7 linked regions of the Cricetulus griseus genome follow. The protein of the gene in region 5 purifies or fractionates together with the protein of the main gene of each other region. This does not show direct contact. Links are inferred from orthologs where the notes say so. Each region holds a gene or a part of one and is shown on either strand. Other genes may lie near its edges. The genes, in order: Vcp, Trim25, Stau1, Ybx1, G3bp1, Tardbp and Mki67.

Region 1 (3,987 bases), on a different chromosome or scaffold from region 5:
GAGGCTGCCCATCTTCTTATTTTCAGGACTGAACTGAAGATAATACTTCAAGTTATCATTTTGTATTTTAATCTCAAAACTTCACTTTAGAAGTGGGGCATGGTGATGAACACCTTTAATCCCAGCACTTGGCATTGGCTAGCCTAGTCTATAAAGTACCAGGACAGCCAGACTGTCATACAGAGAAACCCTGTCTGGACCTGTCTGGGAAAAGAAAGAGAGAGAGAGAGAGAGAGAGAGAGAGAGATTGATTGATTTCAGGACAACCTCCAATGTGACTATGAGTCCAGACCCTTGCTCTAGAGATGAGTGGTATGGCTGTTAAAAGACCTATAATTCAGCTACCCATAGAGATTAGAGCTGGTAACCTCTAACAGAGCTGAAAGCAACTGCAGCTTCTAAATGTTCTTTACGAAAATCTATCTGTGCATGACTCAGGTCCTTTCCAGAATTCAAAGACCACACAAGGGAACTTGGGAAAGTTCAGGTGAGAACCTAAAGGTAGAAACCACCTATGATGCCAGATTTCAGAAATTTTAATTTAAAAAAAAAAAAAAGGATCTTCCAGTCTCTTTGGCCTCAGTGGGCGAATGAAGCACCTAAAAGTTGTCAATCGAATATTCAGACAGGGATTCCGTGAAGGGACAACACCTAAACCCAAGAGGGCAGCTGTTGCAGCATCCAGTTCATCTTGAGGATTTTAGTCAGTCTTAAAAATAAAATGTTCTGAGCTGGGCGTTGGTGGCACATGCTTTAATCCCAGCACTGGGAGGCAGAGGCAGGCGGATCTCTGTGAGTTAGAGACCAGCCTGGTCTCCAGAGCGAGTGCCAGGATAGGCTCCAAAGCTACACAGAGAAACCCTGTCTCAAAAAACCAATAAATAAATAAATAAATAAATAAATAAATAAAATGTTCTGGTTTCTGGGGCATACAGTGATTTTCCTATAATCCCATTACTTTGGGGACAGGGGACAGAAACACCAGGAATTCAAAAACAGCCTTGACTACATGGCTGAGTTTGAGGCCAATCTGGTCTACACTGGGCAGTGGCAGAGCACAACTATAATCCCAGCACTTGGGAGGCAGAGACAGATGGATCTCAGAGTTCTAGGCCAGCCTGGTCTAAAGAGTGAGTTCCAAAACCACCAGGGCTACACAGAGAAACCCTGTCTCAAAAAAACCAGAAAGAAAGAAAGAGAGAGAGAGAGAGAGAGAGAGAGATCAAAGGTAAAATACCACAGAATACTTTTAAAGTATATTTTGTTGTTTTTTGAGGCAAGGTCTATGTAGCCCAGGAACTCCCATTGTAAAGACCAGGATAGCCTAGAACTTTCTGCCTTTAAGTGCTGGGATTAAAGATGTGCACCACCCAACACACCCTGGCTATTTAAAATATTAGTACTTTTAACTAAGCAACTGAGTGAATACTTCATTCCAAGGAAATGAAACTTAAAAACACCTAATCACCTCAAAACATCGACAGAAGATTTGTATAGTTTCCTAGGCTTGCTGCTTTTTGTTTTGTTTTCAGTATGGTAAACTCTAGTTTCTCAACTGAATGGGCTGAAATGACTAGGTTTTATTTGATGCTTTCCTTAAAAGTTGGGGCCCTAAAATCCTAAAGCCCAGACAATCTCTGATCGTTGCTGCTTGGATAAGTGTGCATATTTAAGAGTTATTTAAAAGTTAAAACAACTCTAACCTGCAATCTCTGAAAGTCAAAACACAGAAAGCAAAAACAAAACAAACTCAGATTCTAACTTCAGCACGTTAAAATAGAAAAACAGTTTTCTAACCACCCCCTGAACATAGCAAAAATAATAAAATAATAAAAATAATAGGTAAAGCTTCCTGGTATTTACAACAGGCCTAACATGGTGAAAAATTGCCATCTGAGAAAAGCACGACCTAACAGGCCCTTCACTACCCAGGATGCAAAAGATGCCAACCTCAGGCAAGGCCGTACGGGCTCCACCAAGGCCGACCTGGCTTCCCCCAGGTTGCTCGGCCCGGCCTTCCCCTGAGTCTCAGGGCTCCTGAGGCCTTCACGTGGCCCAAAGTCCACGCCCACTGGGCCCAGTCGAGGCCTCCGGCTTGCAGTGTTTTCTCTTCGCGGGCTTAGGGTCTTCCGCGTGTGGTCGGTGAAGTGGCCGGAGGGCATCCCAGAGCCACAGAGCTCCGTGCCGGCAGTGTGAACCCTAAGGCCTAAGTAGGCCGGGGCCGCCTTGCCGAGGGAGCTCGTCAGGCCAGCCGGGGCCTGCATGACACAGCACCATCTTGCCCAGGCTCAGACCCGGGCCCAGCGCGGGCCCGACCTAGGGGGCGCGCGGGTGCACAGCCCGGCCCGAGGCCCTCACTCGCCCCTTTCCTCTCCTTCCGTCCCTCTCCTCCCGGCCTAGACTCTCCTCAGACGCGGCCCTACCGGGCCTACCCAGCGCGGCGAGTCCCACGCGTGCGCGCCTCCGCCCAGCCGGCGGGCGGGCGCGGCGGGCGGCGGCCCTGCGCGCATACACTTACTCGGCTCCAGAGGCCATGGCGCGCGCCTGTCCCGGTCGGCGGCTGTGGCGGCCTGAGGGTAACGGCTATGAGAATGGCAGGCGACCGGCTAGGCCCGGGCTTGACTCACTCAGGCGGTGGATCAACAGCGGTGACAAACCCTCAGGCAGCCTCCCTCTCGCTTCCTCCCAGCGGCACCGGGGCGGCAGGCGGGCGGGAGACGCTAGCTCCTGATCCGCGAGGGGGTCAGCGGCAGCGACTAATCAAACGACGGCAGCAAACGCTTCGCTGAGACTGAGCCGAGAAGAGCCGAATCATCGGAAGGAAAGCTGCTCTCACCTCAACCAATCAGAGCCTGCCTTGGGACTCGTGCCCGCCTCTCCGTGCCTCTCCCCAGCAACCCGCGGACCACAACCAATCAGAAAATTCGTTTATGGCCTGGCCCCACCTCAAGGCTGCAACACGCCTAGTAACGCCACGTCAATTGGCCGCAGCACTACGCTTCCTCGACGGATTGGGATTCTTGACCAATCAGCAAAAGGAATAGGCCAGATTGTCTGGTAAAAGGAGAGCCTTTAATGCCTCCGAGGAGGCCTCTCCTACTTGGCTCCAGCTGATTGGCTCCTTAGTTTATAAGCTGCTGGAAGAACCTAACACAATGGCTTGAACCCTTATTAGTTTAGTCGGGTTGTAATGGCAACCCACGTAGTCGATTTCTCGCCAATCCTGGCGATCCTCTTATTCCACCACAATAACCCTTTAAAACACTGGCTCCAACGAAGGGCGTGGTGGATGGTCTAGGTCTGTAACCCTAGCAATTGGGAAGCAGAGGCAGGAGAATTATTAGTTGGAGATCAATTCAGGACCTTTTCTGAAAAACAAAACCGGGTTGGGCATAGTGGTGCAGATCTATAATTCTAGCGTCAAAGGAATATCTCAAAAATAAATTTTAAAAGCAGTGTAGTGGCACATGCTTTTAATTTCAACACTTCGAAGACAGCGGCAGGCTGACCTCTTGAGATTTAAATCAGGCTGGTCTATTAAAAAAAAATAATAATTGCAGCCAGTCAGGGCTACATAGTGAGACCCTGTATCAAAACTAAGTAAATAAAATTTTAAAAAAACCACACACACAAAAAAAAAAAAAAAAACAGCTGGGTATGGTGGTGTTCATCCTAGATGCCAGTACTCCACAGACTAAAAGCAGGAGGGTTGAGTTTGAAGCCAGCTAGTGCTACACAGCTAGACTAGGTCTACCAAAACCTAGTCACCCTTTCCCTGGGCCCTAGTTCTGAGTCAGCAGAACCCCAGCTCTTAATTCAGTCTATTGACTGATTTTTCAGTCTATTGACTAATCCCTCAGGTTTTACAATTTCCCGGAGTTTGAGAGTACATATTCTTTGCCACAGTGTATAAATACTATCTGTGGATGGAGAACACTCAGGCTCAAAGAGGTCAAGGACATCTGCAGAACACAGCAAATTCAGTGC
Region 2 (3,500 bases), about 32 Mb from region 5:
AGTCACCAAATCTGTCATGTGTTTGAGGAAACACTTGACACTCCAAGCCTAGTCAATAAATGTGCTCTCTGCCCAACTGGCTTTAATGCACACTGTTGCAGTGGTTCTCCCTCTTTTTTTTTTTTTTTTAATCTTTCCTGTCTTTAGTTTGTGCGTGTATGTGTGTTTATGCTTGTGTGTGTGTGAGTGTGGACACGTGGTGCATGTGTGAAAGTCAGAATTCAATCTTGGTTGTCAGTCATTACCTTCCACCTTGTTTGAGACAGGGTGTTTTGTTTGCCATGGCATAAGCCAGACTCACTGGTCTGAAAGTTTCCGGGTTCTCCTATGTCCGTAAGCCATCTTACCATGAGAGTTCTGGGAGACATGCATGCTACCCCATCTAGCATTATCTGGGGTCTGAAGATCTGAACTCGTGTTCTCATGCTTGCATAGCAAGTGCCCTTTGCCCAGTGAGCCATCTCCTGAGCCTTGTGTTTCTCACTATTTTCCTCTATTGACCTCTCCCACTGAGCCATAGGCAATGTTTTCCTAATTGTCCCCTCCAGTGAAAATTTGATTCTACGCGTGTACAGTATATCGGTTTATTTATAAAAAGAATAAGCAGTAACCAGGGCATGGTGGTTGCATGCCTTTAATTCCAACACCTGTGAGTTTGAAGCCATCGTGGTCTACATAGGGAATTCCAGGACAGCCTGGGCTATGCAGAGAGACCCTGTCTCAAAAAAAGGAAAAAAAAAAAACAAAAAAACAAAAAAACTCGCTCTCTAGACCAGACTGGTCTTGAACTCACAGAGACCCACCTGCCTCTGCCTCCCAAGATTAAAGGCATGTGCCACCACCGCCTGGCAAAAGAACACCTTTTACACCCCACACCTCAAGCCTTAGATTTTTATCCCTGTTCCCCTCCTCCATCGGGGATAGTGTCACTGTCACTGGGAATGTGGACATTGGGCTGGAGAAGAATAGTAGGAATCTCCTTGCTCCTCACATTTGGAAAATAATGACAGTTGAGCCCGTGGGATGAAAGCAAGTGAGGTTCCCATGGGACACACTGATTGTTAGAATTCTTTATAACCCTTTTAAACCAGCAAGCTGTAACTATTTCCCCGAGGTCTACTGAAAAGGCATCTAGATGCCCGCTGCTAGTGTTGTCAGGGGTGTAAGAGGTGCACTTTACTGCTTGTTGCTTGTATATAATGTGTGAGTTGTCTTTAGCAAACCACTGTTGGGCATTGGTCTCTCTGTGGACTAGAACACCTAGTGACAGGGTGTGCTTGGAAGAGCCCTGGGGAAGGCAGGATGTGTTTTTTGTTGTTGTTGTTGTTTTGTTTTTGTTTTGTTTTGTTTTGTTTTTCAAGACAGGGTTTCTCTGTGTAGCTTTGGAGGCTGTCCTGGCACTTGCTCTGGAGATCAGGCTGGCTTCGAACTCACAGAGATCTGCCTACCTCTGCCTCCCAAGTACTGGGATTAAAGGAGTACTGGGATTAAAGGCGTGTGCCACCAACGCCCGGCCAGGATGTTTTCTAAGCACTATTGTGACATTTTAACCAAGACTATTTTTTTCTGACCTCCTCTTTTTTGCTTGTTTTTTTTTTTTCCTTTTGCAGAGTTCTAATCTGTAGCAAAATGCACAGACCCTAAATGTATAGTTAAATATGTCTTTGACAAATGGGTTCCATCTTATCATTACCCAAACCAACGTAAACACTTCTTAGAAATTCCTTCCTATTTCCTAATAGTCTATAACCCCATGACCCCATGACCCCATGACCCTGGTCAGGGTTCCTGTCCTTGCAGATGTGTGTTTGTCCGCCACCCCCTATATTTTAAGTTAGGCAGGCTAGCCTTCCTTAGTTTGTATGTGTCAAATGCATATTGATGAATGTTACTATGGTCTTTTGTGTATGCTTTAAAATTCCTTAATCCTAAAATCTCTCTTTTTTTAGAGGAAAAGAAGACCAAGAAACCAAGTAAGTTGTACATTTGTGTATCTCTTGGTTCTCAAGACTTGTGTGAGTCTAGAGCTAACGTTGAGAGCAACAGCTGTACTGCTTTAACAAGGGTTCTGCCATGGCCCTGTTCTTACAAATGTACGCTGTGAAGGCAGGCAGGCTTGAGCAGGGAAGGGAGGCCCACCGTGCATGAGTAAGAGCCTTATCTGGACTCACTTGTGTGGCCCTGGCTGGTCAGATGTGTTTGTGAAAGTTGACAGCCATCTTAGAAGGGGGGAGAGGTCATCCAGTCCTCTGTGTCATATTGCTGTTTCACCTTTGTCTTCTCTTGGCTCTCAGCTGGTGCTACCGGCTCCTTTCCCAGCTCTTCCTCATTCAACAAGCTTCCCACCTTTGGAGCTCCTGGACAGTCAATGGATTTTAAAACAACTGACCCTGATGGTGAGTTGTTGTGACCAAGTGCCAGAGAAATATCTGCCATTTGTCCCAAGCTTGTCTTGAATACCTCTCTCTGTTTCCTCTTCTAGCCGCACCCAAAGCCAACACCTTGCAGCCAAACTCTACTGCACTCAAAGCTAAGATGCTAGAAAACTTCTTAGCCAAGTCTAGGGCCGAGCTTCTGGAGTGTGAGTAGCTTGACTATGTGGATGGAAGAGTGGGTGGGCAGATACAGATAAATGGGTAGATGGATGGGTGGGCAGGTAGTTGGATGAATAGACAGATGAATGGGTGGTCAGTGTACCAGTGAGTGGGGAGTTGGATGGGTTAATAGATGATGCGTGTATCTGAGTGGGTGTTTGGAGAGATGAATGGCTAGTTGGATGGGTGGGTGGGTGGGTGGGTGGGTAGATGGATAGGTGTATGTGGATAGGTAAATGGATGAATGGGTAGGTGTGTATATGGTCGGGTAGATGGATAGATGAGTGGGTGGGTGAGTGAATGGATGGATGAATGGATGAAGTGTGAGTGGGTAGGTGGGTATGTGGATATGTGGATGGATAGGTGAATAGCTGGGTGGATAAAATAAATGTATAGATGGGGAAGGCTTTAAAAGTGAAAGTACCTTGGGTCTCTTGTCATTGATTCCCGGGGGGTGTTTTCTCAGATTACGTTAAAGTCGTCTTCGACTACAATACTGCCCACAACAAAGTGGTTCTGTCAGACAACTATACCACCGCCTCCGTGGCTGAGGGACTTCAGCACTACCGTACCCATCCCCAGAGATTCACCTACTGCTCTCAGGTTCTGGGGCTACAATGCTATAAGAAAGGCATTCACTACTGGGAGGTTGAGCTGAAGAAGAACAATTTCTGCGGTGTAGGCATTTGCTACGGCAGCATGGATAGGCAGGGCCCGGAGAGCCGTCTGGGCCGTAATGCCAACTCGTGGTGTGTGGAATGGTTCAACAACAAGATCTCTGCCTGGCACAACAATGTGGAGAAAACCCTGCCCTCCACCAAAGCCACTCGAGTTGGTGTGCTTCTCAACTGTGACCATGGCTTTGTCATCTTCTTTGCTGTCACTGAAAAGGTCTATTTGATGTAT
Region 3 (3,500 bases), on a different chromosome or scaffold from region 5:
CAGGAGAGGCTGCAGTTCCTTCAGTGGTCAAGAGCACTGCTATTCTTCCAGTGAGCTGGGTTCAGTTCCTAGAACCCACATGGCAAGACAAAGTGGGACAGAGGAGAGTGAGTGGGGTGGGCACTGAGTGAGGGCAAGATGTACTACCATGTATCATTAAAACAACATCAACCTTTTGCTTATTCTCAGGTCTACATCAAGGAGGGTACTGCCTAGAAAACATGGGGCTCTCCAGGGGTTCAAACCAGATTGCAGCTGCTTCCCCAGAGTTGACCTGCTGCTCACATTCACTCAGGGCACTCCTGCCTTCCACGGACGGACACCACACTGACCCTGCAAATGCTCACTTACGCTGACACTGGTCCATTTCCTGTTCTTGGCATCTCTGTGCTCTGTTGGTCCAACTCAGACAGCAACTTTAAAATGTTGAGTGCAGCCTAGAAGGGTGGAAGGAAGGAATAGTCAGCCAGAGAACAAGCCAGACTCTCCTGGAAAGAGATATCAAAAAATGGATAGCAATGTCTTAAAACTTTTTTTCCCCTCCCAATGTAATGTTTGAATCACCTACCCCGCCCCCAACCAGCAAGATGGTTTCTGTGTAGCCCTGGCTACCTTAGAACTCATTCTGACCCCTTTCCCCCCTAACTCCGAGATGTCTGCTCTAGCCAGTGACAAATCTCCTGTATGCAGACTCCTCTCCTTTAGGGTTTAACGTCACCTGAACAGACTTGGTGGGGGGGGGGGGCAACTTTCTACAGCTCCCAGAATAGAGGCTGAAGAGTTTAGACTGTTTGAAAGGTTACAGGAGAACGTGTCCCTCTTCCTGAGACCACCAACAGTCTGAACAAGGCAATGTGCCAGGCTCAGCCAGCTTCTCTCCGCAATCTTGGGGCCCACATACCATATCGTGACAGGACTCCACATCCTTGCCAATGCCGTGGCTAACAAGGGGTGGCTGTGAGGAGCAGTTGATGAGAGACACACACTCGTTCTTGTTGTTCTTGGGGAAGTCTTTGTATTCAACCTAAGAGAGAAGAGCACACACCCAGCCATGTGAACCCCAGCCCAGAATCCTCCAGGGTCCTACTTAGGTTTTAAATGCTGCTTCCTAAAGAAAAGTGTCTTCTCTCCCTAGAGACCTGTCATGCTTCTTACTCCATAATCCCCCTCCACATACACTTGCCCTGGTGCGTGCGTGCATGTGTGTAAAGCACGTGGCATGCCGGGTATGCAGGTAAAAGGACAACTTGCTGCAGTTAGTTTTCTTTCCACCAACAATCCAATTCCAGACTGTCGGGTTTGGTGACAATGCACCTTTATGCAGTGAGCCACCTTGTCACACCCCAGACCTGCCCCTGCCTCTCTCACTTCCTGCACTGAGCCACACTTTACACTCAGACCATATGATCTCACTTTTCCTGGTTTCTGTAGTACTGGGGGACAGAACCTGGGTTCTTCATATAGAAGATGCTGTAAAGGTCATTCTCTGAGGCCCAGAGATGACCACAGAAAGGCAAACAGTTACCTGGAATCCCTGGGCTCTGGAAAGGTAGTACAGCTGCTCAGAGGGTCTTGTGCGAGGTCCATGGGGTACGTGTCCTGAAGAGATGTTACTCTTTAAAATGGTCTCGGCTGTGGGCGAGGTGCCCCCGTACAACAACTCTCGAGCTATCATGGCAGTTACCGTGGCCTTGGCAGGGTTCGGAGCTGCCCTGGTGAAATCTTTGGTGTGGTGTCCTTGACTAACCCCAACAGCCTGGGCAACCTCTGGCACCATGGGGAGGATCCCGGCTGGCAGCTGCTGATGGCTCAGATAAGGCATCCTGAACTCATCCTCTTTATGACCTGTGAGGGACATACAGGTCACCACAGCCACCCCAACACCCAAGAAGCTACAGTGCCCTCTTCACCACCTCAGCACATACAAGCTCCTGTGCTTCAGTCACATAATAACCATGCAAACCCAGACACGGGATCAAGAGGGTCACACTTACTAGTTGCATTTTCATCCCCAGGGCTAGGTTCAAAAAACGTTACTTTCCTTCCGTCTCCTGGTTTCTTTACTGGGGTCTTAAGAAAGAAAAATGGCAGTGAGCATGGACAAGCGCTGGGGTCTGTGTGCATTTTATCGCCACCCATACACCACACAAGCTCTCATGCCTGCCCATGCTGGCATTTACATGGAGCAGATCATGAATGCAGAGCTGGCTCTGTGCCAAGGACCAGGAAGTGCTGGTTTAGAAGTGCTCAGCCCAGTGGGAGAATAGATAGGGTCTGCACTGGTGCTGAGGGGTGCCTTACATTACCTAGAACTAACATCCAGAAATGCTTCCACAAAGAACACAGAGGCATTTAGTGCATGACCGTCAGACACAAGGCAAGGGGGTTTTCAAATGGGAAATCTGAAAGCCAAATCCAGGTTTATGCAACTCCATATGGAATGTCTGCGTCCCAGGTAGTGACTTTGCAGGCACAGTGGGAGCTGTTTCTAGTCATGAAATGCAGAACTCAGAAGAGGCTCAGTCCTACTTTAGTGAACCCCAAGGACAACGGCTGGAGCCAGCAATAGTGGCTGATGTTCTCCTGGAGTCTTGTTGACCACTCTGCAGAGTAATATTCAACTAAGAATCACAGGAGAATTCTCAATCTGAACTATATAGATTTGGCCTTTTGTTAACAATGCTATCTTGTCCCAGAGAAGCCAAAGCCAGATCCATAGGAGCAATATGTCATGCAAACCCCTTTGAAGCACAGATGGTAGCCATACGTATTCATTCCAATCCCAACTACCCATCAGGAGAGAACAGGACATCCTGCAGAAATGCACATCCAGCCCACAGCGACACTAAACAGACTTAACCAAACCACTCGTGGGACACGGTGAACTGGACAGGAAACTTCCCTCCTGCAAACACTATCAAGTGGACGAACCCCAGGGGGCAGGCTGCTTACTGCAGGGAAGATGAAGCCTTGCCCCAGGCTTGCCCATGCAGGGAGCTAGGCCACCTGGCAGTGAGAGTCCCAGCAGTCACCTTCTCTTCTGATTTGAGTGCTGGCTTGGCAGGCTGCGCCTGGGGAACTTTGAACCCCAAGATCTCCAGCATGTTCTCAGCAGCATTGCGCTTGGCCACCTTCTTATTGGTACCCGCTCCTTCTGCAGTGTGGTTCCCAACCTTTACCTGCAGAAAACAACAAAGACCTGTGGCTGAACCTTCTAAGACACAACAGAAACTGGTTGCTGTGCTGCCAAAAGGCCCCGGGGATGACTTTGCTAAACAGGATGGAAAAGGTGTTTTGTGCAGCCAATTCTGAAACTATTGCTGTGACGGCCACATTCAAGTTAGAAACGTTTAAAATCTACAATAAAGAATACTGTATGGAAAATGTGTGCCTCGATCCTTTCCATCAACATATTTATAAAGACAGGGATCTAACCATAGTGATGCCTCCCTCCCATACCACTCTTCTGAGGGCTGGCTGTTGGACAAATTCCAGCATAC
Region 4 (4,214 bases), on a different chromosome or scaffold from region 5:
ACCCCAATGCACATAAAACAAGAGTAGGAATTTTATTTATTTATTTATTTATTTATTTATTTATTTATTTATTGCTGTCTCTGCTTTAAGCAAAAAGTAATGGCAGAGAAGCCTAACTTGCTTCAGGATCAGATTTTCCAGAACTGACAAAGGGAGGCCTTTAGCCGGCAAGGGATAAGGGTTACTACACTAACTTTCTTCTTGTAATTGCTATTACATGTATTTATTTACTGGGGGGTGGGGGGGTGGGAGATGAATGCCACAGTGCTCATATAGGAACTAGGATCTTCAGGTTTGGTCTCAAGTGCCTTTACACAGAGCCACCTTGGGTCCCTTTAATTGCTTTCCCTGCTTCCATCCTTCCTCTTTCTGCAGCCCATTCCCCAAGCAGCAGCCTTTTCTTTTTAAGATGAGACTCCCTACTTAAAACTCTAAAAATTACCCTCCCCACTTGTGACCTCAGGATGAATCAATCTCACATTAAATACACCTAGTTGACCCTGCCCACCTCTACAACCCATATTTCTTTTTACTCCTACTGAATCCCTTTATTTGCATTTTCCTTGAGGCCCTCTAGGCCTTTGCACAAACCTATCTTTGCCTGAAAAGTCACCACCCAACACTTCCTTCCTTCCCCAAAGGCTGTGGTCACCCAACTATGAAGTGTTAGGCGTGTAAGTTTGTGCCTCCATCAGAAGGCAGAAACTTACTGGCAAACTATTTAAATGCCTCGTCAATAGTAGATGCCTAATAAAGAATGAATGAAGGTATAGGCGGGGGGATTCAGTAGCACCAGACAACCTGTATTTTACAGGATATAAAAACATGGATTGCAATCCTTGTCAACATTGTTGCTTGGTGTGGGGGGAAGGGGGAGTCTAACTTATCCACTAAATTAAATCCAATTTGTGGCCAGTATGAAACACATTCCTCGTGCGCCCGGTAAAGGAGCACCCCCGCCCTGAAAACACTGATTTCGTGGCAGCCGGAGCGCCTGCGTGGTCCCTCCAAGGTGACTGGACCGCCAAAAGCCTGAGCCATTAAGGAGGCCGCGGCGCTCACCCGGTCCAGGGAGAGAGCCCCTTCTAGAAGCACGGGTAGGCCCAGCCACCGCGGCCCACGTGCGCGACGAGCGCAACCCCGTGCGGACACGTTCCCTCTACGCGTCCTCCCGGTACTCTATGGTGCTCACGGCCGAGCAGCTCATTCTAGTTCCGGTCTCTATGGCGGCGAAGGCAGGAGCGGCTGTGGGTCGGCCGAATTAGTCGCCAAAGGGCCCAATGAGCGCGCAAGAGACGCGGAGCGCGAGCCAATAGGCGCTAGGGACCCGGTCAGGTGGTAGGATTGACGATGATCCTGGCCAATAAAAGAGGATGAGGGCGGGCCTATCGCGGGGCTTATCCCGCCCGTCCCGCCATTCTCGCTAGTTCGATCGGTAGCGGGAGCGGAGAGCGGACCCCAGAGAGCCCTGAGAGCCCCACCGCCGCCGCCGGCCTAGTCACCATCACACCCCGGGAGGAGCCGCAGCCGTCGCCGCCGGCCCCAGTCACCACCACCGCAACCATGAGCAGCGAGGCCGAGACCCAGCAGCCGCCCGCCGCCCCCGCCGCCGCCCTCAGCGCCGCCGACACCAAGCCCGGCTCCACGGGCAGCGGCGCGGGTAGTGGCGGCCCGGGCGGCCTCACATCGGCGGCGCCCGCCGGCGGGGACAAGAAGGTCATCGGTGAGCCCCAGAGGGGACCGGGGGTGGGCCGCGGGCCGGACCGTTAGGCGAGCGGCCCCGAGCCACCGACTGCGCGGCCGCCCCTCCCCCCCGAGGCCCGCCGCGCGCGCACGCCGGGCTCCCGCCGCCGCTCCGGCCGCGGCCGCCCCTCCCCCGCGCCCACCAGCCTCGGGTCCTCGTGCGCGGGATCCCCGCCCCGCCGCCTACGCAACCGGAGCGGCGCGGGCTGCTTTTCCCGGCCCTCACGTGCTCGCCTCCCGGGCGCACACCCACCTCGGACCCGCGCTGCCCAGCGCACCCACGTGTGCGGTGAGGGCGGCGGCCCGGGCCTGCGGCCGGATCCTGGACCGACTTCCAGGGCCAGCTGCTGATTGGACCTTGTTGTGCTTTGTTTTCCAGCAACGAAGGTTTTGGGAACAGTAAAATGGTTCAATGTAAGGAACGGATACGGTTTCATCAACAGGTGAGATGCCGGGGTAGAAAAGCTCGGGCCCGCCTCCCTGCATGGGTAATCTCAAGGGCCGGTTCCACCGCGGGCCTGACAGGGAGAGGGGTTGGAAACCTGGTGTTTGTTCTTGGGTGACGGGATTAGTGGGGTCTGTAGGCTTGCTTTGTTTTGCCGTTGAATACCAATCTTGAGCTAGCTAGCCTCAAAGCTTTGGCACAAAGCAGGTCTATGCAAGCGCGGCGCATGAACCATGCCTTAACAGTTACCTTGCATCAAACTGAGGCAACTCCAGGCTAAGCACGTTTTTAACCTTGACATCCTTCCTGCTTCGTTGAAATTGCTATGTAAGAATGTGACCCACTAATTAACATACAGGTGATTTTTTTTTCACCTTGTTAACCTCTTGGGGAACATGATTTGACATGTCAAGTGCCTGAGATGTTATCTGCACTGTAAGGTTATGTTGCCTTTGTTTAGTCGACTCAAATATGCATTCCTTGTAGAACCTCGAGCACATTTTCTATAGAACTCCTATAGCCAAAGACGATTCATATTTATCCAAAACGACAAATAATACATCCGAAGAAAATGGTTCTTCCTCAATTTTTATTTCTTCTACTTCCTTGTCCGGGAATCATGGCTGATCAAATCAATTTTTGTGAAAGCTTGGCTGTAGCTTACTGGAGTGGCCTTAAGTCCTTAATCTAGTTGCAAACTACATCTTCATAGATCCAGAGAATGGTTTAGAATGGTTTGTAGCCGGTGGTGGTGGTGGTGAGTGCAGTGGCTGCACTCTGGGCTCCCTTGTGAGCCCGGCATCTTTTTCAAGATGGCTGCCAAGGCTAGTGCAGTTGCATGGGTGTAGAGCACCGCGAGTGCCAGCAGCAATCCTGGCCGTACAGCTGTGAGACTTGGCGCCATTTCAGCATTTTCTCTCTTACATGCTTGCTTAGAAGGCGTTAAATAAGTAGATGGTGGGAAAGACGCTTAAGAGTGACTGAGTGCTTGTGAAGTGGACACTATCAAATTGGCAGCTAGTCTTTTAAAATAACGGAGTGATGAAAAACCGTTCATTGAACCACGCCGTGTTGTGGAAACACTCAAACAGAAGCGATTACAATCACTTAATGGTCTGTTCTCTATAGTAGCAATTACAGGGAAACATTTTGTTTTTCCAGACTAGGATTTTCTACTGTGGTAGGCTGTTCGCTTTCCTGAGGAATGCTACATTTTCCATGTTACCCCCCCCCATGGGTTACTAGTGAGCAAAGAGGGAAATATAATATTTTGCTGCTTGTATAGGGTTAGTTACCTGGTGGCTTTAAACTGGTCATTGTCGGTGCTTTGGTTGAGATTTCTATCCTAACAGTCCCAGAGGATGCTGAGACTAGTCTGTATACCCTACCTTCCAAAGGACAGTTTTAGAACCCTTAGCCCAGTGCTGTTAACTAGTCCTCTTTGGCCACATTTCTAGTTGGGTTAGCTGTGGGGTTTTTTGGTATGCATTTAATAAATTTTAGCGTTTGGCTAGGCTTATCACTTTCCTTTAAGCAGTTTTTTTCCAAGATTTGTATACTGTTCTATGTTGTGCAATTGTGTAGATTACAATAGACTGTCCTTAGTAGCTTAGTTGATCATTTTTCTGGGCAACTTAAATGTAATTAGCTTATGATGATCCTTTGTTAGAATATCTTAACCCCAATTACTGATTTAATTGTTTAAAATGTGCTTGTTTCTAAGCAGACCATTATATTGACGCATTGGTTTTTAAATGAGATAATAACTGTTGAGGTTTGGTTTCAGTGAACTAGAGGTTTGTCCTACTTAAACAGTATAGAATGTAAAATGGGAGATAGGTATTTGGAATGCACTGTGAATTCTGAGTTGTATATTCTAGGATTGTTTGTTTTTTGAGACAGGGTTTCTCTGTTGCTTTGGAGCCTGTCCTGGAACCAGCTGGCCTCAAACTCAGAGATCCACCTGCCTCTGCCTCTGCCTCCCCAGTGCTGGGATTAAAGGCGTGCGCCACTAACACCAGGCCCT
Region 5 (3,500 bases):
TTTTTGAGCCAGGGTTTTCTGTATTGCTTTGGAGCCTGTCCTGGAACAAGCTCTGTGGACCAGGCTGGCTTCAAACTCACAGGGATCTACTTGCCTCTGCCTCCTGAGTCCTGGGATTAAAGGTGTGTGCTACCAATGCCTGGCTATATTTACTCCTTTTTTTTTCTTTTTAAATTTATTTATTTTATTTTATATAAATTGGTGTTTTGCCTGCAAGTATGTCTATATGGGGAATCAGATCCCCTGGGAGAGGAGTTACAGATAGCTGTGAGCTGCTATGTGGGTGCTGGGAATTGAACCCAGGTCCTCTAGAAGAGGAGCCATTACTGCTGAGCCATCTCTCCAGTGCCTGTTTATTCCTTTTTAAACTTTAAGATTACTAGGTGTGGTTGTAATCTTTACCAGTTGCATTTGGAAGGGTGAGGCAGGCAAATCTGAGTTCAATGCCATCCTGGTCTACACAGTGAGTTCCAGGATAGCTAGAGTGTAGCAGGGAGACTCTTAGGAATGCTGAAGCGATGCTGTATAGTTAGCACAGTGAGTCAGTCCTTTTCAAGCACTTCTGATTGTTGACTGACACGTTTTGGTATTGTTTTACAGGTTGAATCCACCAAAGCGATGGTTATGGAGAAGCCTAGTCCCCTGCTGGTCGGGCGGGAGTTTGTGCGACAGTACTACACCCTGCTGAACCAGGCCCCGGACATGCTGCACAGGTGTGTTCTCTCTCACTTGCCTAGGAGAGGTGTTGTGGGATGGTCCTTCACATAAGCAGCTATAGGTAGTGGTTTAGAAAGGAAGAGCATAAGGTCCTATCTGTATCCCCGGCCTGGGATTCAGAGGTCTGCCTGCCTATGCCTCCTGAGTGCTGGGATTTTAGTGTTGTAGTGTAGAAAAGTATGTGGACTTAGCACAAACCCAAGCTGGAGCTGGAAGATGCTGCATGCACACCTATCTTGCTAATGCAGTTACAGCCTACGATTTCCTTTTCCTGCATTTTCATTCCCATTGAGGGTGTAGTGGAGAGGGGCCTGGTGGAGAGATGAGAGGCTATGAGCTATGAGTTCCCTTAAACATGTGAAAAGTAGCAGCATGTCTACATTGGCACACGCCTTTAATCTCAGCACTCAGGATACAGAGGCAGGTGAATCTCTGAGTTTGAGTCCAGTCTGGTCTACATAGTGAGTTCCAGGCAGAGCTACATAGGAGAAGCCTTCTCTTAAAAAGAGGGTAGCAAGGTTGCTAGAAAATAACATAGCAATAATGTGGGCTCACTTATTTTAGGGCTTATTGGGCTGACCTCAGATTTCTTCGGTGATCTTTAGTTGGCATTTGTTGTACATCTCTGTCCTTTTAATGAAAACAGAGTACAGGGTATCTGAGTGTTTAGGGGGGAGAGAGAGAGAGAGAGAGAGAGAGAGAGAGAGAGAGAGAGAGAGAGAGAGAGAGCAATAAAGGGATGAAAAGTTCATACTTCCCGCACACAGGACAACTGCCCACTGCCTTCTCAGGTGGGAAGGCACTGACTCTTTGGTTCATGACAGGGCAGCTGTCCTCAGCTGAAGCAGGAACTTGACTTTGATTTTAAGTGCCTGGCTTTGCTGACAAACTCCAAGCTCCTTCCCAACATGATCATCCTACCCTGAAACCTGGAAGTCGGGACTTGAAAACCACACACATGCCTCTTTGACTGAGACTGGTGCTGACTCTGGGTGTGTGTGTGTGTACAATGGATTTATCATGCACAAACATAGAGGCCCTGCTGTGAGCCTGCCAGTGAGGTGGATAGGGATCAAGCCTGAACACTAAGTACCTCATCTGCGTGTCCTTGAAGATGAGAAGTAAATTGCCTTCTCTTGTACAGATTTTATGGAAAGAACTCTTCCTATGCCCACGGGGGCTTGGATTCCAACGGGAAGCCAGCGGATGCGGTCTATGGGCAGAAGGTGGGTGCCATGGCCCAGTAGTAGAAGAGGAGGTAGCTTCTTGCCTACCAGGCAGTTAGTTCCTCGGGAGGGTGGCTCCTCTTTAATTCCTTGGTTTGCTGAAATGCCATTTCTGTGTTAGCTGGCTTCTATACAGCAATGTCATTTCTAAACTTAAAAGGTGTTCATTCAAGACAGCTATTTGATATCTTATTTTGGTTTTTCAAGACAGGGTTTCTCTGTGTAGCAGCTCTGGCTGTCCTGGAACTCATGCTGTAGACCAGGCTGGCTTTGAACTCACTGAGATCCTCCTGCTTCTGCTTCCCAAGTGCTGGGATTAGAGGCATGTGCTACTACGCCCGGTATTTTGTTTTTTGACACATAATTTTGATACATGTTTTTGGCTGTCCAGGAGCTTGCTATGAATATCCTGCCTCAGCTTCTCAAGTGCTTGGATTGTACATATATATAGCAGGACAGTTATTTTTTTAAGGGGCTGAGCTGTGATCACTGGAACCAGAGCACACACACACACAGACAGTTTATATTATATAAACAGCAGTGTATACATTCCCTTTATCTGTGTTGTATTGGGAAATTTTTACTTTTTAATTTTTTTTTAAGGCTATATTTTTGTTTTGTGTGTATGAGTGTTTTGCCAACATACATGTCTGTGTACCATGTGCATGCCTAGGGCCTGAGGAATCTGGGAGAGTGCTTGGATCCCTGGGAACTGGAGTTGCAGGTGATTGAGCTGCCATGTGGGTTCAGGGAAGTGAGCATAGGTCCCTCTAAGAGCAGTAAGAGATCTTAGCCATGGAGCCATCTCCTGCTCTGAGATGTTTGCATTTATTGATTTTTGGGTGAGTGTGACTGCCATGGCATACATGCATACGGAGGTCAAAGGGCACCTTTTCAGGAGCTCTGTTTCTGCCCTAGAGATCACATGTGGATCATTAGGCCTCACCAGCCTGGGATTATTTATTTATTATTATTTATGATTTATTTTTAGCTAGGTGTAAACTAGGTGTTAATTACAGTCCTATAGAAGTCTCTGGTTTTGTTGAGTACTGTTCTCACTGTTGAGGCAAAACACCCAATAGAAGCATTTAGGCAGGAAGGACTGTTGAGGCTCATGGTTCAAGGGTGTTGGTTGGTCCATCAGAGTGGGGCTGTAGCAAGGGCACGAGGTAAGTACTGGTACTTAGTTCCCATCCTCTTTTATACAACACAGGGCCCTAGCCTGTGGAATGGTGGTGTCCACGGTTAGGATGGATCTTCACATCATAATTGACCTAATCTAGAGACTCCAGGCATGCCTCCTAGGCAGCCCTAGCTACTGTCAAGCTCACTGAAGCCGTGGAATGAGTTTTTGCCCTTCAGTGTGCTTGTTTTGTTGCTCTTGATTGCTTTGAGACTCTGCTCAAGGAGCTTGTGGGAATAGGAGGTAGGGCTGAGTGTCAAGGACCTGATCTGAGAGAACACAGGGAGATGCCAGGCTCTGATTTGGTGCTGGTAGCTGCTACTGTCTTAGTTTTGGAACTGCTGAGTTCCTGGGGATTGACTCTTGCCTCCATT
Region 6 (2,739 bases), on a different chromosome or scaffold from region 5:
CAAGGTGTCTGATACCCTCGATCAGTCAGATAAATTCCATGCCACAAAATTAAAAGGAAGTAAAATTGCATTGATTTAGATACAGGTTTTGAGGAGGACATGCAGTTGATTTTATAATCCTACATTATTGAAATCCTGGGCCAGGGAGATAGCTGATTTGGTAAAGACACTTGCAGAGCAAGACAGACATCCTGTCTACCTCTAGAACACACTTAAAAGGGCAATTGCAGTGGTTTGCAGCCTAACAGGGCAGAAGTCCAGAAACGGCTTACAAATGTGTATACAGATCAATTTTCAATAAGATAATATAAAACTAGAATGGGGTGGTCATTCGAGACGGGGTATAACCCTGGCTGTCCTGGAACTAGCTTGCAGACCAGACTGGCCTCGAACTCACAGAGCTCCACCTATCTTTAAAGAACTGCTAAATATGGGTTTATGCTCGCTTTGTTTAGATAACAAAAGGAAAATGGATGAGACAGATGCTTCCTCGGCCGTGAAAGTGAAAAGAGCAGTTCAGAAAACATCTGATCTAATAGTGTTGGGTCTCCCTTGGAAAACAACAGAACAAGATCTTAAAGACTATTTCAGTACTTTTGGAGAGGTTCTTATGGTTCAGGTAAACTTGATTCTGGGTAACAGCTTTCCTTTTGTTTATTCTGTATATATGGGTCATAACAGTATCGATCCTTATTAGGAAGTAACACCAAAAATTTTATGATTGGAGAGTCACCATAACAGTGGGAACTGTATTAAAGGGTGAAAACAATAGGAAAGTTGAAAATTACTGGTTTAAAGGAACTAGGTCATATTAGAACTATTATATTTGTGCTCATTGTAAAACATTGTTAAGTTCTGTCGTGAGTCATTCATTCCCTGTTAATGATGCAATTCCCTATTGATTCTTGCCTTGGACTAACGTTATTAAACATTAAACTTTAATGTGCTTTTTCGTTCAGTTGAAGCCATTCAAGTTTCTATGTGAACTCTGATTTGGTATATATGTGGTATTAGAGTAAATTTCTTTTCTTAGGTCAAGAAAGATCTTAAAACTGGTCATTCAAAGGGGTTTGGCTTTGTTCGATTTACGGAATATGAAACCCAAGTGAAAGTGATGTCACAGCGACATATGATAGATGGGCGATGGTGTGACTGTAAACTCCCCAATTCTAAGGTATTTTGCTCTTTTCCTGTATGCTTGGGTGATTTTTTTTCTTTTAAAAGACCTTAAATTAAGTGCATTTGGAAACATTGACGGCAGGAAAAGTTTTCCAAGGCAGGTGTCTCTGTAGCCTTGGATGGCCTCAAACTCGGTATCCACCTACCTGCCTCTGCTTTCCAGGTGCTGAGATTAAAGGTGTGGGCTACTACCACTCAGCTTAATCTTAGGGAGTTTTGTTTTTTCTTCTGAGTTTTCGAGACAGGGTTTCTCTATAGCTTTGGAGGCTGTCCTGGAACTCACTCTGTAGACCAGGCTGGAACTCAGAGAGATGTGAGTACCCTGATTAAACCTAGTAGTGTCGAGTGCTTGACCACTGAGCCTATAACCCCAGCCCAAACTTACGCCAAACAAGCAAATGAGACTTTAATTATTTGGAACATTTCTTTTGGGGTCAAAGTATACTTTGTTTTTCGGGACAGGATTTCTCTGTATTGCTTTGGAGGTTGTCCTGGAACTTGCTCAGTAGGCCAGGGTGGCCTCAAACTCAACAGTGATCCGCCTGCCTCTGTCTCCTGAGTGCTAGGATTAAAGGTGTGTGCTACCAATGCCTGGCGGGAACACACATCTTTATTTTGAGACAGGGTTCTCTGCATGGTCCTAGCTATCACTCTGTACACCAGACTGGCCTCAAGCTCAACACAGATCAGCCTGCCTCTGCCTTCTACGTGCTGGGGTCCTGTGTTTAACAGCTAGGTGTGGTAAGATATACTTGTAATCCCACCCCTGGAGGCGGGAGGCAGGCTAATTCATGGAGTTTGCCTGGCTACCAGTCTAGTTAGCCAAATACGAGTTCAGTGAGACCCAGCCTCATAAGGAAGGTGGAGAATGACTAAGAAAGATGGCTAGCATCAACCTCTATCGCAAATGTGACATAATGGTCTCTTGGTATTACATTCCTGTAATTCTAGCACATGGGAGGTAGTAACAGGATCAGGAGTTCCAGATTGTCCTCACATATCAAGCTTAAGGCCATCCTTAAAACGGGAGAGCCTGTTTTAGAAATCCGAAGGAAATGAGGAAGAAAAGTTAATTAGTAATTGTTTTTGGAGAAGGACTGGTTCAGTTTTCAGCACCCATATGGCAACACACAACACTATAATTCCGAGTGACCCAATCCCTTCTTCAGACCTTTAAGGGCACCAGACATGTACTTGGTTCAAGATTACAAGGGCCCACACCTTTTAATCTCAGTACTCAGGCACAGGCCATCCAGAGATAGACAGTGAGACCTTGTCTCAAAAAGCAAAGGGAGGGGGGCAGTGACAGTATGCCTTTATGTATTTTTTTTCTACTCTTCCTTTTGACCAGCAAAGCCCAGATGAGCCTTTGAGAAGCAGAAAGGTGTTTGTTGGGCGTTGTACAGAAGACATGACTGCTGAAGAGCTTCAGCAGTTCTTCTGCCAGTATGGAGAAGTGGTAGATGTCTTCATTCCCAAACCATTCAGGGCTTTTGCCTTTGTTACCTTTGCAGATGATAAGGTATTTTTCTTCTTCATTTGTATCGGGGCTGGGAATTT
Region 7 (3,500 bases), on a different chromosome or scaffold from region 5:
AGGCTATGGGATTTGCTGAATGGACTAGTGTGGATGGGCACTTCAGTGATTCCCAGACCCATCCATTCTGCAGTGAGTACCAGCTCAACTTCTCATTCTGTGGTGTCCAAAAGACAGGAGCATGGCACACAAGCTTTTCAGGAAGCTTCAATCTTTTATATGGAGTTATGTCACTACTGCCTTTTGGTTTTAAAGTGAATGTGGATGGCACTTAGATTATAATGTGTGTGTGTGTTCTTTCTTACTTGATAGCACTGAAAATGGTCAATGCTCTGTCAATATTCTACATTGTGGGCACACATTATTTGTACATAGGATTTAGATCCTGAGAAACCTAGGATTTCTTGAGCACAGAACAAGGCCCTTAGGTTGTGGATTCCTGGCAGATGTCCCCTGAGAACAGGTGCCCATGTCCAGCTTTTGTCCTTGTGTCAGGACTTACTTGTGGGAACTAATGTAGAAGACTACTGAGGTCAACCAAATCACTTGCTTTGCTCTCCTTTTCCAGAGGAGAGGATTAGAGAAATGATATATTTAGCTTCTCATCCGCCCCCCAACCCATCCATTTTTAAATAAGCATGTTAACAAAATCACCATTTTAATGAGATGATGCAGACCTAGAATCTGAGAGTTTCTCTGTCATATAGCTTGTCCTGTGTGGGAAATGGGATAATGTAAGCCATGTTTCCAATATTTTCCTTTATCAGGACTAACTGAAATGTTCAAGACTCCAGTGAAGGAGAATCAGCAGCAGATGAATGACAAGGCCTCCATTCTTTCAAATTCGGGGAATTTGCCCGAAAAACAGTTTGAAGTAACTAATTCAGAAAACAAACCTCTGCCTAGCACCTCAGAGATTTTAGGTTGGTGTATTTCTCTATTCCACTGTTATATTTTGAATGGGGACTTAAAGATGGCTTTTTTCTTTATGGACAATATTGTATTCCTCTGTACAATAGCTTGCCCTGGTGAAATGCCATTCCTCTAGCAGGCTTTGCAGTTTTGCTGACATTGGTCATTAACCTAGTTTGGAAGGAAGAACTATTCACTCAGTTAATAAGTTTAAATGATGTCTATATATGCTTTTAACATCTTTGTTATAAGAGAATGGAAGCACAAACAATACACTTGGCCTGTCATATATAAATTACACATATTAAGAATTATTGCAAGGATAGAAATGCAACTCACTTGGTAGAGTGCTATATTGCAAAAACTTGGTGTGGTGATGCCTGCCTATAATCCCAATCTTTGGAATCAGAAGGTCATTGCTGATTACATATAGAGTTTGATAATGGGCCCTAAACATACACAGTAGAACCTGTTACTTCATTAGTGAATCGAGATAATAAATAACTGTTTTTGATGTTTCAGAGTAAAAATTGCCTGTCTTCAGGTCCTTGTCACATGTCATGGCAGCCTTTAAAAGATGCTTCTTAAGGACCTGCTCTATCATCAAATAACTTGAGATCATGTAGTAGCTTATTATAAGAAACTAAATTATTGATTCTTATACACCTCCTAAAGATAAAATACTAAGTTGACGACCTTAGATGGTAAAAATGTTTATTGTATAAATATATTTTGTTACCTATAGGAGAAAATGTGCTCTCCAGTACTCAGAATGCAGCAAAGGAACCATCTAATAAATATTTTGCAAGTCCTACCTTAAGGCGGAGGAGCATCAAAAATGGAAACACAGTACAAACTCCTAAGAATGACCATGACATTGCTCATGTAGAAAAGAAGACTCCAGGTTCTGTGACAGAGCCTCTGAAGACAGTTTCCAGTGTGAACAAGTTAAGAAGGTCTAGAGAGCTTAGACATACACTTGTAGAAAGTATGAATGAAAACACAGAAGCAGGCCTTGCCAAGGGCATCACAGGAAGACACTTAAGGAAGACATCACTGCAAGGACAAGAAGTAGATCAACAGATGCAGGACAGTGAAAACACTTCACAAAGATTCAAGGAAATTATTGAATTAAAAGAAGTTACAGAAAAAACATCAGCTAAGAGATCATGTGCCAGGGAGAAGAAGCCAACAAAAGACTCAATGGGAAGTCAGATGACCACCCAAACAGCAGCCTGTGCTGAGGAACTATTTAATCAAGAAAAGGGAACCATAGAAACACCAGAGGAATCCATGCGCATGCAAAACATACCAATGAGTGATGGTCGAAGAGATGCAAAAGAGAAAGTGGACCTAGTATATGAAACCAAAGTGAAGTGCTGGTCAAGGACCCCTGACAAAAAGGCACAACCTCTAGAAGGCCCAGCTGGTCTCAAGGAGCCTTTTGAAACACCAAGCTGCAGAGAAAAACCCATGGGTGATGATAAAACCAAAGTCTTTTGCAAATCCCCACAACCCACACCAGAGAATACCAAAACAAGCACAAAACCATGGCCCAGCACATCTGGAAGGAGAGTAGACATGAAAGAAGAACACTCTGCACTAAATTTTGTGGACGTGTCAGGAGGAACTAGGTATACCCCCAAAGTTCAAGAGCACAGGGGCATCAAAGCTTTGAAGGAATCTGAAAATCAAATGCTGGACTTGACTGTAACTGGTAGCAAGAAGCCGGTAAGAAAAGTTAAGGAAAAGACGCAACCCCTGGAAAACCTAGATGGCTTCCAGGAACTCTCTCTATCACCAGTCCCTGCTGACAAAATCACAAAAATGCCCAACAAATCTCCATGTGTAGAACGTATCAGAACCCCAGCAAGCAGAAAGAGTCTGTCCAAGACAGGTGTTGGTAAGGTGGAAGTGACAGAAGAGCTTTCAACCTCTGGGAAACGAACAGAGTCACCAGGCAGAGCCACACGCACACCCACAGCACCAGCGCTGGAAGAGAGCGACAGCACAGACATTATGCAAACTCCAAAGCAGAAACTGGTCTTCACAGGGAATTCAACAGGACGCAAGAGAAGGTCACAGGCACCTAAAAATGGGGCTCAACCCCTAGAAGACCTGGATGGCTTCCAAGAACTCTTCCAAACTCCAGTTGGTACCAGGGATCCAGTGACTGTTAGGGAAACTACAAAGTTGTCTTTGGAATCTGCACAAGCAGAACCAGTCAGAACTCCAGCAAGCAGAAAGAGTCTGTCCAAGACAGGTGTTGGTAAGGTGGAAGTGACAGAAGAGCTTTCAACCTCTGGGAAACGAACAAAGTCACCAGGCAGAGCCACACGCACACCCACAGCACCAGCGCTGGAAGAGAGCAATAGCACAGACATTATGGAAACTCCAAAGCAGAAACTGGACTTCACAACAAATTCAACAGGACGCAAGAGAAGGTCACAGGCACCTAAGAACAGGGTTCAATCTCTAGAAGACCTGGATGGCTTCCAAGAACTCTTCCAAACTCCAGTTGGTACCAGGGATCCAGTGACTGTTAGGGAAACTACAAAGTTGTCTTTGGAATCTGCACAAGCAGAACCAGTCAGAACTCCAGCAAGCAGAAAGAGTCTGTCCAAGACAGGTGTTGGTAAGGTGGAAGT

Evidence for each region.
Region 1: the proteins of G3bp1 (region 5) and Vcp purify together in Homo sapiens (affinity purification with mass spectrometry; 3 studies listed by BioGRID, with this or other methods). This does not show direct contact. The link is inferred for Cricetulus griseus from reciprocal best matches to the Homo sapiens genes G3BP1 and VCP.
Region 2: the proteins of G3bp1 (region 5) and Trim25 purify together in Homo sapiens (affinity purification with mass spectrometry; 4 studies listed by BioGRID and IntAct, with this or other methods). This does not show direct contact. The link is inferred for Cricetulus griseus from reciprocal best matches to the Homo sapiens genes G3BP1 and TRIM25.
Region 3: the proteins of G3bp1 (region 5) and Stau1 purify together in Homo sapiens (affinity purification with mass spectrometry; 3 studies listed by BioGRID and IntAct, with this or other methods). This does not show direct contact. The link is inferred for Cricetulus griseus from reciprocal best matches to the Homo sapiens genes G3BP1 and STAU1.
Region 4: the proteins of G3bp1 (region 5) and Ybx1 purify together in Homo sapiens (affinity purification with mass spectrometry; 3 studies listed by BioGRID and IntAct, with this or other methods). This does not show direct contact. The link is inferred for Cricetulus griseus from reciprocal best matches to the Homo sapiens genes G3BP1 and YBX1.
Region 6: the proteins of G3bp1 (region 5) and Tardbp purify together in Homo sapiens (affinity purification with mass spectrometry; 3 studies listed by BioGRID, with this or other methods). This does not show direct contact. The link is inferred for Cricetulus griseus from reciprocal best matches to the Homo sapiens genes G3BP1 and TARDBP.
Region 7: the proteins of G3bp1 (region 5) and Mki67 purify together in Homo sapiens (affinity purification with mass spectrometry; 3 studies listed by BioGRID and IntAct, with this or other methods). This does not show direct contact. The link is inferred for Cricetulus griseus from reciprocal best matches to the Homo sapiens genes G3BP1 and MKI67.

What each region holds. Positions count from the first base shown.
Region 1 is NC_048595.1:100,536,905-100,540,891, reverse strand, and holds the start of Vcp (transitional endoplasmic reticulum ATPase), read right to left. Parts: upstream 2,801-3,987; 5' UTR 2,536-2,800; coding exon 2,519-2,535; intron 1-2,518. UniProt on the Homo sapiens protein: Necessary for the fragmentation of Golgi stacks during mitosis and for their reassembly after mitosis. Involved in the formation of the transitional endoplasmic reticulum (tER).
Region 2 is NC_048600.1:102,153,050-102,156,549, forward strand, and holds part of Trim25 (E3 ubiquitin/ISG15 ligase TRIM25), read left to right. Parts: intron 1-1,949; coding exon 1,950-1,973; intron 1,974-2,294; coding exon 2,295-2,396; intron 2,397-2,482; coding exon 2,483-2,581; intron 2,582-3,060; coding exon 3,061-3,500.
Region 3 is NC_048599.1:12,481,749-12,485,248, reverse strand, and holds part of Stau1 (double-stranded RNA-binding protein Staufen homolog 1), read right to left. Parts: intron 3,180-3,500; coding exon 3,033-3,179; intron 2,071-3,032; coding exon 1,995-2,070; intron 1,846-1,994; coding exon 1,526-1,845; intron 1,025-1,525; coding exon 902-1,024; intron 438-901; coding exon 352-437; intron 1-351. UniProt on the Homo sapiens protein: Binds double-stranded RNA (regardless of the sequence) and tubulin.
Region 4 is NC_048595.1:32,872,798-32,877,011, forward strand, and holds the start of Ybx1 (Y-box-binding protein 1), read left to right. Parts: upstream 1-1,414; 5' UTR 1,415-1,563; coding exon 1,564-1,723; intron 1,724-2,122; coding exon 2,123-2,186; intron 2,187-4,214. UniProt on the Homo sapiens protein: DNA- and RNA-binding protein involved in various processes, such as translational repression, RNA stabilization, mRNA splicing, DNA repair and transcription regulation.
Region 5 is NC_048600.1:69,666,131-69,669,630, forward strand, and holds part of G3bp1 (ras GTPase-activating protein-binding protein 1), read left to right. Parts: intron 1-600; 5' UTR 601-618; coding exon 619-713; intron 714-1,861; coding exon 1,862-1,943; intron 1,944-3,500. UniProt on the Homo sapiens protein: Protein involved in various processes, such as stress granule formation and innate immunity. Plays an essential role in stress granule formation.
Region 6 is NC_048595.1:7,784,997-7,787,735, forward strand, and holds part of Tardbp (TAR DNA-binding protein 43), read left to right. Parts: intron 1-455; coding exon 456-619; intron 620-1,033; coding exon 1,034-1,174; intron 1,175-2,530; coding exon 2,531-2,701; intron 2,702-2,739. UniProt on the Homo sapiens protein: RNA-binding protein that is involved in various steps of RNA biogenesis and processing.
Region 7 is NC_048596.1:65,227,095-65,230,594, forward strand, and holds part of Mki67 (proliferation marker protein Ki-67), read left to right. Parts: intron 1-707; coding exon 708-863; intron 864-1,597; coding exon 1,598-3,500. UniProt on the Homo sapiens protein: Protein that associates with the surface of mitotic chromosomes and acts both as a chromosome repellent during early mitosis and chromosome attractant during late mitosis.